4 linked regions of the Caenorhabditis elegans genome follow. The protein of the gene in region 1 interacts with the protein of each later gene in a pairwise test. Each region holds a gene or a part of one and is shown in the gene's direction. Other genes may lie near its edges.

Region 1 (4,562 bases):
CCCAGTTTGAAGCCAAAGTTTGGCAAGAGTTGGGCCCCCCAACATCTCCAACTTTTGCCCAAGTTAATAATTTTAGGGCCAAACTTGGGCAAGAAGCTAGAGTCAAATACTGAGATTTGTACCAATATCTATAAAATTTAAAACAACATTTGTCTGTGTCGTCATGACAGATTTTTGTTTAACACCCTCTATCATCCTTAGCACATCTTATCAAAAACCTACCCCCCCCCCCCCCCTCAACCAATCCAGTTAATATCCCGGATATCATCATCCTCACCCAAGTACCTCCAGTCTGTTTACCTGGGGGGGATATCGCGCAACGACCACAGATTTCGCATTTTTGATCTCCCGCTGGCTGCTATATCATCTTTATTTGTACTCACTCCCCTCTTGTGTATCTCTATTGTGTGTGTGAATATTGAATATGCTAATGAGCCCCACTCGAGAGTCTTCCACAACAACTGTATAATATCTTTTATATCGATAGTACACCCCCTCTGTTCAAACAAATCTTGTCATGGGGCAACTTTTTATTTGATCTTTCTAAACTTTTTCGCGGCTTACCACCTAACTAGTTTCTAATTGACACATACACTAGAGTTTTAATGAGGTGTTAAGCCATCGAATATTGCATTGGAATGATGATTGGCAGTTGCTCATTTTACGTTTTCAAAAATTGGTGTGCCAGTTACTCTACATTGCGCTTGCTTCTTTAAAAAGGCATAACTCCTTAGAAAATTTTGTTTTTTAATAAATTAAAATAATAAAAATAGATACAAGTCATAGTGTTTGAAATTTTGCACAGTCTCTCAGTTTGCAACTTTTGGCCAAAATTTTTTTCCGCGAAGTAATGCGCCTTTAAAGCTGGGCGAGCCTACTCAAAATGGTCGAGAGTGCTCGATCTTATTTAAAGGCGCATAACTCTTTTGAAAATAATATCTTTTAAAATCTTAATAAATACATCTCATAGTTCTTAAAATTCTGCACGTTTTCCCTGTTAACAAATTGTGAATACCTCCTTCCTCCGTGGAGATATGCGCCTTTGAAGCTGGGTCTACTGCCTTTTCTCAACAGGGTCGAGTGTGCTCGTTCGTGTTTAAAGGCACATAACTCGTATGAAAAGTGCGAATTTTAAAATTCAAACATTTATTTCTTACAGCTCTTGACATTCTGCACATTTTTACCGTTTACAAATTTTTGATACCTCCTTTCTCCGCGGAGTTATGCGCCTTTAAAGCTGAGCTCTACCAGGGGGACTAATTGTTTAAAGGCGCATAACTCGGCGGGTTTTTATGCGTTATAAATTTTTTTTTGTAGTATATAAATTATAGCTCTTATAGCTCTTAAAATTGTGTACACATTTTCTTAGTTGGAATTTTTTTGACCACATTTTTCCAGGCCGAGTTGTGTGACCTATTTTTAAAAATTTTCAAAAAATACCTCCATTGCCTAAATTTTCTAAAAAAAATCCCCAATTTTCGCTCAAAAAATGTACTCTAATCAAAAACTCTACACTTTGCAGATGCAAAAACCATGACGAGCGACACAATTCGACAAACTCTCGACGAGCTGCTACTTGACAAGAATGGCGGCAGCAGCAACGAGGCTCGCGCCTTCTTCTTATCACAAATTATCGATCAGCTGAAATTGATTAGTTCTCAGGTATATTTTATTGAATTGGGCGCGTTGTGGGCTTTCAGAAACGTATAATCATGACTAGGCCACGCCCATATATTGATTTTTGACTCCGCCCCTATTTGAAAATATTGCGAAATTGTGAAAAATCTACTGTAACTTTCTGAAATTAAGATTTAGAAAAGTTTGAGTATTTATTTTGTACTCGGCTAGTTATGAGCTTTCAGAAAGTATAATCATAACTAAGCTCCGCCCACTTTGGTTTAGGCTCCGCCCCCTATTGTGAAATACTTGCAAAACTACAGTAATCCTTACCAAAATGAATAATCAAAAAATGTTTTTAACATTTCTGAATATACCATGCTTTTAGCTTTCAGAAACGTATAATCATGACTAGGCCACGCCCATATATTGATTTTTGACTCCGCCCCTATTTAAAAATATTGCGAAATAGTGAAAAACCTACTGTAACTTTCTGAAATTAAGATTTAAAAAAATTTTGAATGTTTTTTTGTACTCAGCTAATTATGGGTTTTCAGAAACGTATAATTAGGCCACGCCCACTTTGGCTTAGGCTCCGCCCCTTTATTAACTTTTTGACAATGAGATGAATAATTTTAACCTTAAGTTTTCTCTATTTTGCCTAAAAAATTTTTTTTTCCAAAAACTGACTATTTGCCAACAAAAACCTTAATTTCGGCCCCGCCCACTTTGTACTAAACTCCGCCCATTTGTAACTCCGCCCATTTGTTTCAACGTTTTTTCTTAAAAAAAAAAAAAAAAATAATAATAATTCCAGACCGATGCAGAACGACAATTGCAAAAACTACAACTAAAGGATCCCAACGACAATATAGTCAAAGCCACGCCCCCTCCTCCGCCCCCGCCCCCGCCTTTAATTTCAATACTCCAACAGGCGCCTCCACCGCCTCCCCCACCGCCTCCTCCAACCCTAAAAGCTCCACCGCCACCGCCAATTTTGGGCCTGAAAACACCTTCAAAAAGCCTAAAAACGCCCACGCCTCGGCCCAAAGAGTGTCCCACCTCGTTTTTGCCGAAAAAAGAGAAAAAGACGAAAACACGGACGGTTCAGTGGTCGAAAATCAACGCGAGTGTGGTTCAGGACGACAGTGTCTGGGGTAAACTGGCGAAAGCCAGCAATGTGGATATCGATTTTGATCTACTCGACAATTTTTTTGGAATTGAGAGCTTGGCGGTGTCGGGAGCCGCCGAGGTGGTCAAGGTAGGAATTTTGTTAATTTTGTTAAATTTAGATTTTTAGACAAAAACAGTTTTATGAAAGTTTTGGAAAAAAATTATTTGAAAAAAAAATCGATTTTTGAAATTTTCCAAAAAAGTTTTTTTTTTTGGAAGTTTTTTATTTAACAAGATTTCATTCACAAATTAGGAACTTTCTTATTAAGTTTTTTGATATAACATCCATCATGCCTATATTCCGGCTATTTTGAGTTCTGACACAGCTGAAACCGGTGCTACAGTACCCCGCGTGGCGAGACCCAAAACTTCAAATTTGACGGAATGTAGGCGTGTAGGGGGTCATTTTGAAGCATTTGAAAAATTAAATTTAGATTTTTAAACAAAACAGTTTTACAGAAGAGCTTTGGGAAAAAACTATAAAAAAATTTCGAAAAAAATTTTCAACCCAAAAAAACATTTTTTTTTCCTCCTGAAAATTTCAAATTCCTTAAATTTCCAGAAATCTACACGAAAAGACGCCCACGTAGAATTATTAACTGCAAAACGTAGTCAAAACGTGGCAATCATGCTGAAACAGTTCAAAAATATCGATGAGCTCATCGATGACGTCAGCCAAAACAAGCCGGTCGCCGAAATAGATGCTTTGCAGAATTTGTTTGGAATGCTGCCGCAAAGTGAAGAGGTAAGTGAAAATAAATGGGAAATTCGGATTTAGCGCCAAAAATCGATTGGGAATCGATTTTTTTTTCGGCGAAAATTTGGATAAAATTGAATTTTCGAAAAATTTTTTGATTTTTTTGAGATTTTTTCATGAAAAATTCAAATTTCCCCAAAATCTTCAAATTTTCAGGAAGAAGCCCTACGACGATACACCGGTGACATTTCCCTACTTTCTCCTCCATCGAGCTTTTTCTACCGTCTAGTGCAGATTCAATTCTATCGCTTACGGTGAGTATTCGCTGCGAGACCCGATTTTTTTGGATTTTTAAGTGTGAAATTCGAGTTGAGCTTGCTGAGCGCTTCAATTTAGGTATAATCATGACCAGGTTCCGGTAATCCGGAAATTTAGGCGACACCTCTTTTCTTGGCTTATTGTGAAATATTGATTATAAGTCACGCCCACTTTTTGCACTATAAATGGGTACAGCCTAACATTTGCAAATATTTTTGTAAAAAAGTATATCAAGTCTAGGCTCCGCCTACTTTCAAATCCAAACCACGCCCCTTATTGCGAAATAATAGAAAAGTTATGATTTTTTTTGTGAAATTTTTTAGCTAAGCAGCTTTGTCTTAATTTATTTTGCTCAGAATTGAAAAAAAAAATCAATATTAGTTGACTCCGCCCATTTTCAAATCTAAGCCACGCCCCTTTCTTGGTTTATTGCGAAATTATTGCAAAATGGGGAAATTTTTTATGAATTTTTCCATTCGAACAAGCTTGAACTAACTTTATTTCAATTTTTTTTTGTTTAGAATTTGAAAAAATCAATATTATTTGGCTCCGCCTATTTTCGAATTAAGGCCACGCCCCTTTCTTGGCTTATTGCGAAATGCTTGGAAAATTTGGAAAAACTCTGCAAAAATCAATAGTAAAAATTTCAATTTTGCTCTGTTCGAGCTAATTGAATTGAAACTTTTAGAAAAGTATGCTCATTATTAGGCTCCGCCCATTTTTAAATCTAAGCCACGCCCCTTTTTTGGCTTATTGC
Region 2 (4,807 bases), on another chromosome or scaffold:
CATTCGAAATTTCAACTTCTATTTTAATTTTTCAGGTTCGATAGAAGAATCGCACGGCATATGGACAAATTCACGCGATACGGTGTCTAATCTCGAATTCGTGTAATGTTTGCTCTGGCCGGTGAAGTCAATGCGGAATTTCTCGAACAGTAAGTTGGAAAATCGTAGTTACATTCAATAAAAATAGAAATTAATTTCAGAATGGAAGAAACTGGCAAGGTCAGTCTCGATGACAAAAATCGAATCACCGAATACATCTCGAGAGATTGAGCAATCGTATTGAAAGGAGATCATAGTGTGCCGGCGAAGGCAAGAAGATCATTAAAAAGAAGACGTGATAGAGAAGGGTAACTTTACAGTCTCGTGGATTCAAACTTAAAATCTTAATTATTACAGAACATCAGCTCCAATTGCAGAAGACATGTCGGATGACGAGATGGAAGTTGTGGGATCGGTTCCTGGTGTGCCAAAACCGGAACCAGTTGATCGAACCGCCTACGACGAACTTCTCAACAGACACAGGTCGCGCAATCCGGAAATCCAACAGGCTCCACCAGTGATCGCAGAGGCCCGCAATCTTGCAAATCCCGGATTTGATGAGCCAGAGAGAAAGGAGAATGTGCAGCTGATGAACGTGCAGATGGTCGGTGCTACAACTAATGGATCAAACTCGGATGGAATCAGCCTGCATCAGCTGGTGAAACAATTGGAGGAAATGCTCATCTACCTTGAAAGTGATTTCACTGGCTTAAAAGTCAAAATTTTGCGTTTGTTGGCAATCAGAGATGAGGTACCCGGAGATATACATTATCAACTCTAAAGCAAATACCTTCTTTTCAGCAACTCGATGCACAAGACGTGATCCTGTCCTTGAAGTTGTTCCTCCTTACAACTACACGAAAATTCCGATTGTCCACCGAATCCAGTGGCTACCCGGACTCATCGAAAAAGTGTGGCAAGGCGTTCTTGACGATTCTCAAATTTGTTCTGCTCAAATTGGAGTCTCCACTCATTAACGATTTTCGAAAGGAAATCGACAATAAGATTAAGAATTTTGGAGCCGCTGAAAAGGTATTTGAAATAAAAAAGAGCTGTACAATCAAAAATATCTCTAATTTCAGGTTATCCTCATCGTCGATGCCCAGGAAGCGATCCAGCAAATTCTCATCACATTCTCCAGCTCCTGATGTTCTCCCAACTGCTGAATGTTCCCTATCAGCCGGCGATAATGCACCTAAAGAAATTCCACTGTAACATTTTTTTAAATTCCTTTTTTCCCGTATTTTCCTTTTTTTTCGAATGCTCAATAAATGTTCTTGTTTTAAATACGTTCAGATTAATTGGTTTTTATTAATGTTTAATTCAGTTTTCTATACTTATAACTGGTTTTTTTTTTCAAAAATGAGATCCACTTCTCGAAAAACTTAGAATTTAATTCAAATCGGTTTTCATCCAATTTGCAAAGAAATTTTTCTCGAATATGAATTTCACGTAATTTTGTAAATTTAGTATCGAATTTTGAGCAAATATTTACAGGAAATTCCGAAAAAACCTGTAAAAAGCTGGAAAATCGATGAAAATATTTGCTCGTAAAGTATGATGCAAAGTACGCAAAAACCTTTGCATACTCCGCCATCTACCGTAGTCATTGTCAAATTAATATTGTTCGCTGACGTGCGAAATTGCGTATTTCTTCATAGTTTTACTAAATATTTAAAAATAAGTAATACATATAAATATTTATTTTCAGTGTATAATTTCACAAGAACAATCATGGATTTCAACGAAACACTCGACATGCTCAACAATCCGAACACATTCTCACCGGCTGTCTCGAGTCTTCTCGCCAAGCAGCCTGTTATGCTTGGAGCAGATGATCTTCTCAACCGGACAGTTATCGTTCAGAATGCTCAGAGAGCTCTGAGAAATGAGCATGAACATGTGCTCGTCGCCAACAAAACGATTCTCGTTAATAAACCGATTATTGAGATGAAGGTGCTTCTTGTTTTCCCCCGATTTATTGAAAAATTGCTCGAAAAACGGCGCTGCTCGAAAAAAAAACTGATAAAATCGAGAAGAAATCGCGAAGAAATCTCCCAAAACAAGAACTGCGACCAATCAGCGATTCGCTCCACCCACTTTTTGGCCAATCAGATGGAGTGGGCGGAGTTCGAAGAAACTGATTGGTCGCAGTTCTCCTTTTGGAGGGAATATCATCGCGAGAATTGAAAAAATCGCATTTTTAAAATTTGGACTTTCTCTTAATTTTTCGATTTTTGGAGATTTTCCTGAATTAAAAAAATTAGATTTTTTTAAACCAAAAAAAAACAATTTTTAAACGAAATTTTTACAATTTTACTTCAAACCAATCTCTGAAAAACCAAAAAAAAAAATTTTTTTTTCCAAAAACCCGGAAAAAGAAGAAATTACTCATAGAAAAATTTTGAAAATGTTTTTCCTAAATTTTTGAAAAACATTTTGTTCTTGTTTTTTTTGTCCAAAAATAACTGAAAAAAATTCTAAGAACAAGAAAATTATGGAAAACATTTTTTTGTCCGAAAAAACCGAAAAAAACCGATTTGCCGAAAAAAATCGTTTACCCCTGCAATAAATTTCATCTTTTCAGGGTTTCATGTCGCTGCCACCAGAGATTCCATGCAGTGTCGGAAGTACTCCAAGAACATTCATGTACTACGGAATCGGCGGAAAACCAATCTGCATCACAACTTCCGAACTGGGAAATTATAGCGAAATCACAAGACGCTCATGCCAAAATAACAGTACTCTCCGTCATATTCTCGGCTCAAAGAGCAATTTTCGAGTAATGATTGTATCGACGAAAGTGATTCTTCAAGATCACGAAATCACACTTCCATTTGATAAAAATTGGATTCTATCGGAAACTCCACTGCATTGTGCCACACATTTCGATAAAATGATCGAATGTCCAATGGAAAGCCGTAGAGTTCTTGCCGCGTTAGGAAGAGCACGTATTGCCGAGGAAAAAGAGTTTTGGAGCAAGAATCGGGCTATTGCGAGGAGTTTTACCCCTAGATCGATGGCTAAGGTTATTTCAACAGTTTTTATTGAAGAAACGCGGAAAAAACGGAATTTTTGGGTTTTACACTTAAAGGACGACTAACGGTTCGGACGATTTTGAACGTATAGACCAACAAATTTGCTCAAATGAACGAATTTCGTAATGAAACTGCTCAAAAATTGTTAAAAATTTTTTATGGTGGTTCAAAATTTTTGAAAAAATTACACTGATTTTAGCTAAAATCACGATTTTTTCCCATTTTTCCGTGTCACATTTGTCCGAAGTTGGCTTTTTTGGAATGATCGTCCTTTATTACATATTTTGGTAATAAATCTCATTTAATTTCGTCGATTAAAGAACATTTAAAGCCGATAGGTAACCAATTTTGATGATTTTTGGTTACCTATCGGCTTTAAATGTACTTTAATCGACGAAATTAAATGAGATTTATTACCAAAATATGTAATAAAGGACGATCATTCCAAAAAAGCCAACTTCGGACAAATGTGACACGGAAAAATGGAAAAAAATCGAGATTTTAGCTAAAATCAGTGTAATTTTTTCAAAATTTTGAACCGCCATAAAAAATTTTTGAAAATTTTTTGAGCAGTTTCATTACGAAATTCGTTCATTTGAGCTCATTTTGGGTCTATACGTTCAAAATCGTCCGAACCGTTAGTCCTCCTTTAATTTTTCAGTAAAATGATTAAAAATTGAAATTTTGAGCCAAAAATTTCGATTTCTACTGAAAAACCTGCAAATTTCTATGAATTTTCAGCCTCCACCGCCACCACAAAAAATCACCACCACGGAGCAGAAAACCGCTGAAATAACATCGGCTGACGTGGATTTTTTGCAATTTTTGGCTCAAAAATCGAGCTCCGACGAGATTCGTCCACTTTTTCGATTTCAAATATGTGAAGAGTATATTGATACTTATGAGAATCCATCTTCGGAAAATTATCTCAATAATCGGTTCGTTTTGATCTGAAAAAATGGGATTTTTTCAAGTTTTTTTGTGAAATTTTCAGTTTTTTTGCTTTTTTTCAGAAATTTAGCATTAAAAAATTTAGAAAATTTTTTTCCAATTTTTAAAGGTGGTGTATTCGAATTTTTTTATTGATTTGTTCGACTCAAAATTTTCTGAAAACACCGAATTTTATAATGAAAGTTCTTGAAAACTTCTCAAAAAAAAAAGTTATGACGGCTCAAAAAATGGCCTAAAATCAGTTAAAATTTGAAATTTGGCTTGCCAGCGGCCGGAAACAATTTTTTTTGAAACCACGGTCAAATTTTGAGTATAAAATGTAACTATCTTGCGTTTTCAACTCGTTTTAGGTATTTAAAAGTCGATGGACGGAGAGATTTTTAATTTTTTAAAACCTAATCTCGCCGTCAATCGACTTTAAAATACCTAAATCGAGTTGAAAACGCAAGATAATTACATTGTATACTCAAAATTTGACGGTGATTTCAAAAAAAGTTAGTTCCCAGCCGCTGTCAAGTCAAATTTCAAATTTTAACCAATTTTAGGCCATTTTTTGAGCCGTCATAACTTTTTTTTGAAAAGTTTTCAAGAAGTTTCATTATGAAATTCGGTATTTTCAGACAATTTTGAGTCTAATTAAGCAATAAAAAAAAACTTGACTACACCACCTTCAAACTTTTTAATTAAAAAAAAAAATCGATTCTTTTTCAGCTTCCTCCGCGTTTTGGCAATGCGAATTCCATTGCTCCGTGGATTTGACCTAGAAACGAAAGCCCGAA
Region 3 (5,669 bases), on another chromosome or scaffold:
TATCTCCAATGCTACTGAAATGCTAGTTGTAGCAACAAATAATCGTGTGCCTTATTGAGATTATTTCCTTCAGATAATTTCCTTACATTTCCTTATATGAATTTCAATAAAACGTCACTTTATTTTTTTATTATTATTGCTACATTCCCTATGCTGCCTCTCATCGACCACCGAGAGCACAAGCACCTGACCCGGGTACCAGTCACCCTAACAGCTGATCTTTCCATATGACCAACAGTGCATGACCATCAATTTTTGAAATTTTACTTTAAAAAGGTTATTGGTGCCTGATACGCCTTTCATATAAAATCGCTCTCACCATCCCTTCCCTCCAACCGTCTCTCTCTCTCTCTCTCTCTCTCTCTTCAAAAATCGATTTGATTCATTCTCATTCGCATGTCAGCTGGTAGAGAAACACAGAGACTCTCTTACAAGCCCACACATCTCGTCGTCGGTCTCTCTGTCGTCTCTTCCACCACCCACACTATCCCGGTCAGTCATTCGTTGGTGAAAAGATGTGAAAGAGAGAAAGAGAGAGAGAGAGTACGCACACAGAACGCGTTTTATTTCATATTTTTCTTCCTTTCGCCTCTTTTCTTCGTTTTATTCACTCTCTTATTCGTATTTCTATTGTGTATTTATGCAAAGTAATCGTCGAATTTGAGGGTTTTAATCCTTTTGTTAGGTTTTGAAAATATTATTTAGAGAAAGCTAAAAAAAAGCGAATAGTAAAGTTGTTTTCTTTTGCCAGATTTTGTTGTTGTTCTCTGCTTGCGACTTGATTTATAAAGTGTCTGTGTGGACAATAGAACCTTAAAATTGATACTTCCCGAAAAAATTACCACTTTCTTCATGGATTTCATCACTATTTCGTTTAAGATAACCATAATTTAACTTTTCAGTGATTTTTGTGAATGTATTACATTTTTTTTTGAATGTTTCAAATTTCCATTTTTAGAAAGTCACTTATTCAAATAGTTTGCAATCACGTTTTACTGAATCTAGTATCTATACTAGGTATTCAAGTTCATGAAAATCGGACCTTATCCCTTACTTATCTTATTGATTTTCCTAGCCCATCTCTCATCTTTTGTTCTTGATTGCATTGATTTTAGGCGATTATTTTCAAATTTTAATATAAAATTTTCAAAATTTCCTAGTAAATCTTTAATTAAAAAATTTGAGCCTCAGTTGTTTTTTTTGCACAACTTTCCCGGTAATTTACCGAAAATGAACATTTCCGACAAAACTGCAAACCGGCAAAAAATTTTCACAAACATTTTTCTGCAAATTGTGGTTTTCCACATTTTTTTCTGGAAATTTTAGAAATTTAATTTAAATTGGCAAAATTGTACGCATCCTATGAATGTTCCTACATCTATTTTGAAAAGTAAGCAAGTTCAATGAATGTATCTAAAGAAAACGGGAAAAAAAAACTTTCAAAATGACACTGTTTCAAGTGCTTCCGTCTTATTAAAAAATCCCTCTAAAAATTTCCGGCAAACGGCAAATCGGCAATTTGCCGGAAAAAAATTGCCACGTGGTGTCAAAGTGGCTCATTGCGGTTTGATCTACGTAGATCTACAAACTATGCGGGAGTTGAGACGAAGAGTTCCCAACTGATTTCAAATGGTTAACAATGTGCTGACGTCACATTTTTTGGGCGAAAAATTCCCGCATTTTTTGTAGATCAAATCGTAATGGGACCATGTGAGACCCCGTGCCACTCCTGATTCAACAAACCTATTCTAAAAACTTTACTCTCTTCGTAATTCCTCACAATTTGACCTCCAGCGACTATTTCTCACGTGACAACAACAAAACACTCACAATTCGTTATCACCAACTCACCAATTACAGAGACGACGGGAAGACGGCGGCATCCGCAGACACCGAACCACCCACCACCTCCAACATCGTCGTCCTCGTCATCTCGACTGCCTTCGCTGATGAGTAATCGGAACGGTGGTGGAGGAGGAGGAGACTATCAGGACGTGATCGAGTCTCTTCGTCGTACACAGCTCATCTTTGAGGAGGACGATAATAATAGTAGCGATTCGGCTCCGCAAGCGAATCATCTATCCAGACATCAGACTAGCAATTCTTTAGTCGAAGATATGGTTAATCACTCAAATGGTGAGACTTTTTTGAAAACTTTGAGTCTTGTTTGAAAGCCTGCTCATCCCCGAAACTTAGAAACGGCCCAAAATTAAAGAAAGGACTTAATTGTCCAACGGAATCAAGAGAGTCGGCTTTTGAATTTCTATTGAGTATTATTAATTGAGACATGATTAAAAGATCACTGTTTCAGCATTTCACTTGGTGCCAGAATGTCCTATTTCGGTTTGATCTACGTAGATCTACAAAAAATGCACGAGTTGAGACGCATAGTTCTCATTTTATTTGGCTTAAGAAAGTTTTACGCAAAAAAAGTCCGCGTTTTTTGTAGATCAAACCGTGATGGCAGGGGTTTTTTCTGACACCACGTGATTTTTCCGACACACCACTACCTTCAGCCAGCCAAACCTTTAAGCCGGAGCCCAAATCCCCTGCTTTCTCCAACCATGCGTGCTCACCAGTCATTAGTCCCCCCCCCCACATCCAAAACGACACCAATTAAAGTCACTCAACATTTCCTCTTTACTCCCACCCCCGAGAGAAAACTCGCTATTCTATCTCTGTGTTATAATCGACATATGCATCGTAAAGCGGTGTTTCGGAGCCCCTCCCTAGTTTTTATATACCTGCTGAAAACTCTCTCGGAGAGCTCGCTCGCTTCATGATGATCGCATTTTCCCCCACATGCGTTCTTGCTGCTGCGTAGTGAATGCGCTTATTATTGAGTGTATTGAAAATTGGCTCAATGAGCGAAGTAAGTGTGAAACTATATCTTGGAGCCCAGAACTAGCACCATTAAATTTTACTTTCCAGGCAACCCTCCACCGGTCCCGCCAGGCATCACACAACAGCAATGTCAAATCGGATTGACACCTCGGATGTCGGCATCGCCACCGTCTGCAGTGTCAACAATCTCTGGAACCGCAGTGCTTGGCAAAACGATGGCCAGAGTTCAGAGTAATCCCCCGGGAAGTAGTGAGTTTTTCTTGATTTTCAGAACTGTAACGCTAAAATGTAAAATTTTCCAGTACCGCACAACACAACGACGACCGCGCAAGGAATCCAAAGCGTCGCACCACATATTCCAATCGGCGGCGGTGGAGCCACCGACGACAGCAGTGCAGAGATCTTGTCGGTGTTTGAGTGCCCGGTATGCCTGGAGTACATGCTGCCACCATACATGCAGTGCTCATCCGGACATCTTGTCTGCTCGAACTGCAGACCAAAGCTTCAGTGCTGCCCGACTTGTCGGGGTCCAACTCGTGAGTTTTGAAGTTGAAATTTGAAAATTGCGTGACTAGAAGAGTTTAGTCAAAGCTGAAAAAATTACCACAGCTTGAGCAGAGCTGATATGATAGAAGACTAAGATCCTTTCTGGTTGATCGATCTGTCTCAGTCGAGCGCCTAAGCATTTTAGCTGTGTTGTTTCTCTAATGTAGCTAACGAATCAAGGATCTACGGATCTTCAAAGTTTCAGAGTATATCTCAAATTTCAAGACTAAACCTTCAATCTTACAGCTTCTGTCCGCAACCTGGGCCTCGAGAAGATCGCCAACACCGTCCGCTTTCCATGCAAATTCTCTACGTCCGGCTGCCCCCTGAACTTCCATCACGCTGATAAGACCGAGCACGAGGAGCTCTGCGAATTCCGACCCTACTGCTGCCCGTGCCCTGGAGCTAGCTGCAAGTGGCAGGGAGGCTTGTCGGATGTGATGGAGCATTTGAAGAAGATCCACAAGAGCATCACGACGCTTCAAGGCGAGGATATCGTCTTCCTGGCCACTGACATCAATCTTCCTGGAGCAGTTGACTGGGTTATGATGCAGAGCTGCTTTGACTATAATTTTATGTTGGTGCTCGAGAAGCAGGAAAAGTACGATCCAGCTCAGCCAACTCAGATGTTCTACGCAGTCGTTCAGCTGATTGGCTCGAAGAAGGAAGCTGATAACTTTGTGTACCGGCTTGAGCTATCGGCGAGCCGCCGGAGAATGTCATGGGAAGCCACACCGAGAAGCATCCACGAGGGGGTGGTAGTGGCCATTCAACAGTCGGATTGCCTAGCGTTCGATTCAAATGCTGCACAGCTTTTTGCAGGTGAGCATTGACTTTTGCTTTTATCTTAATCGGAAATTACCAATTTTTGTTAAAACTGAGCTTTCAATTTTTGTTAAAACTGAGCAAAAACAGCTTTTTTTGTGAGTTGACAATTTTTTTGGTAACTTTGTTAGACAAGGGATACAGCTGGAATAGTTGAGTGCATCATGGTGCATCGACCGAAATAGTTTTAACAGCCGATACCCCGGTTAAGTGTGTGAATGCTAACAAAAATGTAACCGCTAAACTATATAAAACACGAGAACAAATATTTTGTGAGTTGGAACTTTTTCGATAGAACCAGAAATCCAAAAAAATTAAGTTTCCTTTGAACATGGTGCATCGACCAAAAATTTCTAAGATTGATAAACTCGGTCAATTTTTGAAGATATTAACAAAGTGTCTATTAAAAAATAAAAATAAAAACCGAAATCCGCAGAGGTTTTTTTGAAAAGTTTTTAAAGTTGGGCGAGATATGGTGCATCGACCTTTAGTAGCAAAATTTTTGTCAGTTCCGGAATATAAACTTTAAAAGTTACCCTCAACAAAAATCAACTTTTTTTTTCAGAAAACGGAAACCTTGGAATCAACGTCACTATTAGCCGAATAGATACTCCACAGAGGTGAGAATTGTATTTAAAAACTTTAAATTCAAGTTTAAATGTTTGAAAATATTTAAAAATTACAAAAAAAACACATTTTTTCAATAAGCCAATTTTAATCTATTTAATTAAAAAAAAAAAAAACTAATAACTGATTTTTTTTCAGGCGCCACCCAAATGAGTTGGAAAATTCTGATCTCGAGTACGACTAGATATGCACAGTGTAAACGTAATAAAATTATTTTTGATTTTTTTCTTCAAAAATGTGATGAAAAGCTTAAAAAATTCAGTTGAAAATCCCCTTACAATCAGAACATTTTAAAAAATTTAAAAATTAAAAAAATTTTTTTTTTGGATTTTTTTTCTGAAAAAAAAACTATATTTTGTTCTAATTTTTTTTTATAATGTAGAATACCCCCCCCCCCCCCCCGCCCCCGCCTCAAAATATTAATTATCTGTATAGCATATCCTTCCATGACTCGGAATGGATAACCACAGAACACTACGGATTTTTTTTCAATTTTTTTTGGTTTATAAATTTCTTTTTTTTTGTATTTTACACTCGATTTACACATTTTACGAGCTTTCCTGTGTTGTTTTATCGATATTTTGTACTTTTTTTTTGTCTCTTGAACCACTTGCGTAATAGCCACATTTTTCTTTCCAATTTTTACGATTTTATACTTTAATCATGTTGAATAAATTTTTTTGAACTTTTTTTGATGGTTAATTGAAATTTTGGAGAAAAAACATTTTTTTTTTCAAAATTAAAGAAATTTAATTCATTCTCAGTTTTTTTTATTTGGAAAATTTGCATCATAACAATTTTTCACAATTTGAGTATTTTCAAAATTT
Region 4 (3,668 bases), 6.7 Mb from region 1:
AATAACTACCGACAGATTTAATGCATAATGAATGATGATTTATTTTAAACAAGAATAGGGAATTATTCTTCAATTTTTTAAAATAATTTTTCTATTAAAAAGTTTTAATGGTTTTTTCGAAAATTCTTATTGCAAACACAATTTTAAAACCAAAAATTGTAGTTTCTTACTGATAATCTAGATAACAAAAAAGCAAAGTAGAATAATCACGTGGAGTCAAAAAGTCCCATTTTGCTTTGATCTTCGAAAAAATGCGGGAGAAGTGACGCAGACATCTGATCTGATTTCGCATGGTTAAGACTGTGCTGACGTCACAATTTTTCTGGGAAAATATTCCCGCATTTTTCGTAGATCAAACCGCAATGAGACAGCCTGACACCACGTGAATAATCTGTTTTGTTTTAATAAATAAGTATTTAATAGATACAATTAACTTTTTGCAGGTAAAAATCTGGTTCCAAAATCGTCGTATGAAACACAAAAAAGAGGCAAAAGGAGAAGGTGGAAGCAATGAATCAGATGAAGAATCAAATCAAGATGAGCAAAATGAACAACATTCTTCTTGATTTTCACTTTTTTTGGTCAGAATCTAATTTGAATTTCTTTTTACCTCGTTTCCGGTCGCTTTTCATTGTTTTGCTCCCATTTTTGTCATTTTCCTTTGATTTTTTGCATTCTTCATCGGTGATATATTGCTTTTAAACGACCTGAAAGGATTCCACGCCCTTTCGACGGGTCTTTGTTTTTATTGATTATTTCTCAATTTCTTCCTTTGCTTCTTTGGGATTTGATGATCTCAACCTTTGTCTCGAAAATTGTTTTTTACACACTGCTAGCCTATTTTTTGATTTTTTTTTCTTGAAAATTTTTCTACAGTAACATATCTGTTTGCTTTGATTTTTGGAGATGAAATTGATCTGTCATTATGTTTCACAGAGGACCTCACAAATTGAAGGACATTTGTGAAACGACACATATTTCACTGTGCCAGATGCAAAAGAAGATTGTTGATATACCATGTAGTTATAAAAAAGTGAACTGAGTTACGTCACACTAAAAAATTATATCGTCGATTTCTAATGAACATAAGAATCTGTAAAACTGGGCCACAAAGTGTGAATATGTACTGGATGATTGGTAGTAAAGCTTCATTGATTGCCTCCAAATAATACCTTAGTAACACTTGAAACTTTAGAAATAATTATATAAACCTGAAAATATCTTTTCTACAGTACCTCGCAAAGAAACTGCAGGTTTGAGATGTCCAATTTCTCGGAAAGTTGATTAGCTTTTTTAATTTTTTTAAAATTTAGTCATTGATTCACTGGTACTAACTAAATATCTCTGTGAAAATAAATGTATTTTTTGTTACTCATCTTTAAAAATTCGTCAACCAGGTTTATTCTTTTGCAAGTTCAAATATTTGTATATACTTTTGCAAGTTCAAATATTTGAGCAATATTGACTCCTTTTTTTATTAAGGAGTCAATATTGCTCAAATATTTGAACATTGGCATTATTTTCCGAAGTAGAAACATAATTAAATACTTTATGCGTTTTAGAAGGATCTATCGATGGTAAATAGTATAAATGCTGCATTTCGAACAAATAGTCAGCGAACTACGGTAGATGAGAGAGTACGCAATGAACATAATGCATTCTAATTTACGCACATTAGATTTTTTGTAATCTTTTTTTTTTCGTCAAACTTTGCAAAGTTATCGTTTTTCTAGCGGACAAATGACTTTTAATTTAAAAATTATTTGATTTTTTCGACTTTTTGAGTTTTAAAAATGTTTAATTTCAGCAAACTCTTCAAAATGGTCGCCGCAAGCAAGGAATTCGTGTTTCATCACACTTTCAAGGATGTTTCACAATTGGAAGATGGCGATTTTTTTAAAAGCCCCGAAGAAATTCATTACAATGCGGAATGGTAAGTCTTATCCAAGTCATAGATTACATAAAATATCTTTAGTTTCAGGTTTATATTGGTTATTCGCACGAAAGATCAACTGGAAGCGTACCTACACTGTGACAATGAGAAAGATGACAACGTCGCCTGGACAGTCGACGCCGAATTCAGCTTAAAAATAGCTTCATCATCAGGAAGTTATGCAATGAAATTCCAAAAGGGATGTTTCGATGGATTTGGACTGGGATGGAATGATTTTGTCAGTTGGGACTCATTGACAGAAGATTTTCTATACGATAATAGTTTTACTATTGAAGCATGTGTGAAGATCACAAAAATGACAGGATTCTCGAAAGATGTGCTCAGAAGCTTCGATGAATCAGAAAAAAGATTTTCCGATGTGATCCTTGTAGTTGGAGACGAGAAGTTTTATGTTTTGAAACTAGTAGGTTTTTTTTACAATCGAATTTTCCATTCAATATTCAATATTTTTCAGTTCCTGGCGTCTCATTCTTCATATTTCAATGCACTTTTTCTTGGAAAATTCAAAGAAGCCGATCAATCAGAGGTTACACTCCAAAACATCGATCCGACCGATTTTCAGAGCCTTTTGGAGGTTCTATATGGAGAACCTGCGATTGATGGTTAGATATTGAATTGATTTTAAATTAAAATAATTAAATTTTCAGATGGTACCATCGATGGAGTTCTTCTACTTGCCCACATGCTCGATGTTACCTTGGCAATTCGAAAATGCGAGGAGTTTTTGATCGAAAAGTCGATGAAATCGATGAGAGAGCTGTTAAAAATGGCTAACCAATATCAGCTGGAGAATTTAAAAGTAAAATTTTATTTTTTGAAAATTCCTGAAAACTAAAATAAATTTTGATTTTCAGACCGTTTGTATCTCGAAAATCAACACGATCGATGAGATTGAAGCTGCAATGGCTTATAATCCGGAAGAAATGGACCCGATTGTGCTGGCGACTCTCCTCAAAAAATCCACGGCTCTTCATCGATCTGCGATTTCTGATTCAGTATAATCATTTTTTTCCTGTTTTAGCGCTAATATATTATTGTGATTTAGTCTTTGATTCGCTGGTACTAACTAAATATCTCTGTGAAAATATATGTATTTTTCTTTTACTCATCTTTAAAAATTCGTCAACCAGGTTTATTAAGGAGTCAATATTGCTCAAATATTTGAACATTGGTCTTATTTTCCGGAGTAAAAACATAATAAAAAAACTTTATGCGTTTTAGAAGATTGAAATTGACTGAGTTGGTCAATGGCACAGTCTCCTCCGATGGAAATTTGCATTAGCGCGCACTTGCATTTTTGTTATTTTCATGAATTATTTTGCACTGAAAAAAATGATGGTTTTTTGTGACTTGAATTTCTCTTCGAAACGGTGTTTTTACGTTTTCATTTTAGGTATCAAATGTTAAGCAGGAAAAAAACTGTTTGTTGCATCATTTTGGGAATTTTTAATGAAAAACTGAACGCGCTGATACAAAAATTGTCAACAATTACACTCGAAAGTTAGAAAAAAAAAATTATTTTTTATATTCTTTTCGGTTATTAACGCTCTGTGCATGTAAAAATAGTTTCTAATTGTTATTCGCATGTCTGGCTACAATATGGTCAATTTCGGATGGATATCAATGCTTAATTTATGGTTTCATTACGATTTCACGGAACAGCCTGGCCAACAGTTTTCTGAAATAGGGAAAAATGCTCAAAGAAGATGCAACT

The links.
Region 2: the proteins of exc-6 (region 1) and set-24 interact in a two-hybrid assay, tested with the Caenorhabditis elegans proteins (one large-scale study listed by BioGRID).
Region 3: the proteins of exc-6 (region 1) and siah-1 interact in a two-hybrid assay, tested with the Caenorhabditis elegans proteins (one large-scale study listed by BioGRID).
Region 4: the proteins of exc-6 (region 1) and bath-15 interact in a two-hybrid assay, tested with the Caenorhabditis elegans proteins (one large-scale study listed by BioGRID).

The regions. Positions count from the first base shown.
Region 1 is NC_003281.10:1,101,691-1,106,252, forward strand, and holds the start of exc-6 (Excretory canal abnormal protein 6), read left to right. Parts: upstream 1-1,517; 5' UTR 1,518-1,533; coding exon 1,534-1,662; intron 1,663-2,434; coding exon 2,435-2,878; intron 2,879-3,352; coding exon 3,353-3,535; intron 3,536-3,703; coding exon 3,704-3,801; intron 3,802-4,562. UniProt on the Caenorhabditis elegans protein: Constitutively active protein required for microtubule and F-actin growth, structural maintenance and organization during excretory cell tubulogenesis.
Region 2 is NC_003280.10:12,127,912-12,132,718, reverse strand, and holds the start of set-24 (SPK domain-containing protein), read left to right. Parts: upstream 1-1,750; 5' UTR 1,751-1,773; coding exon 1,774-1,995; intron 1,996-2,626; coding exon 2,627-3,067; intron 3,068-3,818; coding exon 3,819-4,015; intron 4,016-4,739; coding exon 4,740-4,807.
Region 3 is NC_003282.8:3,742,188-3,747,856, forward strand, and holds siah-1 (E3 ubiquitin-protein ligase siah-1), read left to right. Parts: upstream 1-1,860; 5' UTR 1,861-1,949; coding exon 1,950-2,136; intron 2,137-2,931; coding exon 2,932-3,093; intron 3,094-3,146; coding exon 3,147-3,380; intron 3,381-3,636; coding exon 3,637-4,212; intron 4,213-4,780; coding exon 4,781-4,835; intron 4,836-4,980; coding exon 4,981-5,026; 3' UTR 5,027-5,164; downstream 5,165-5,669.
Region 4 is NC_003281.10:7,774,167-7,777,834, reverse strand, and holds bath-15 (BTB domain-containing protein), read left to right. Parts: upstream 1-1,801; 5' UTR 1,802-1,820; coding exon 1,821-1,933; intron 1,934-1,975; coding exon 1,976-2,357; intron 2,358-2,408; coding exon 2,409-2,556; intron 2,557-2,601; coding exon 2,602-2,753; intron 2,754-2,808; coding exon 2,809-2,955; 3' UTR 2,956-3,158; downstream 3,159-3,668. Other genes in the region: Homeobox protein mab-5, read left to right, coding at 444-566. UniProt on the Caenorhabditis elegans protein: Probable substrate-specific adapter of an E3 ubiquitin-protein ligase complex which mediates the ubiquitination and subsequent proteasomal degradation of target proteins.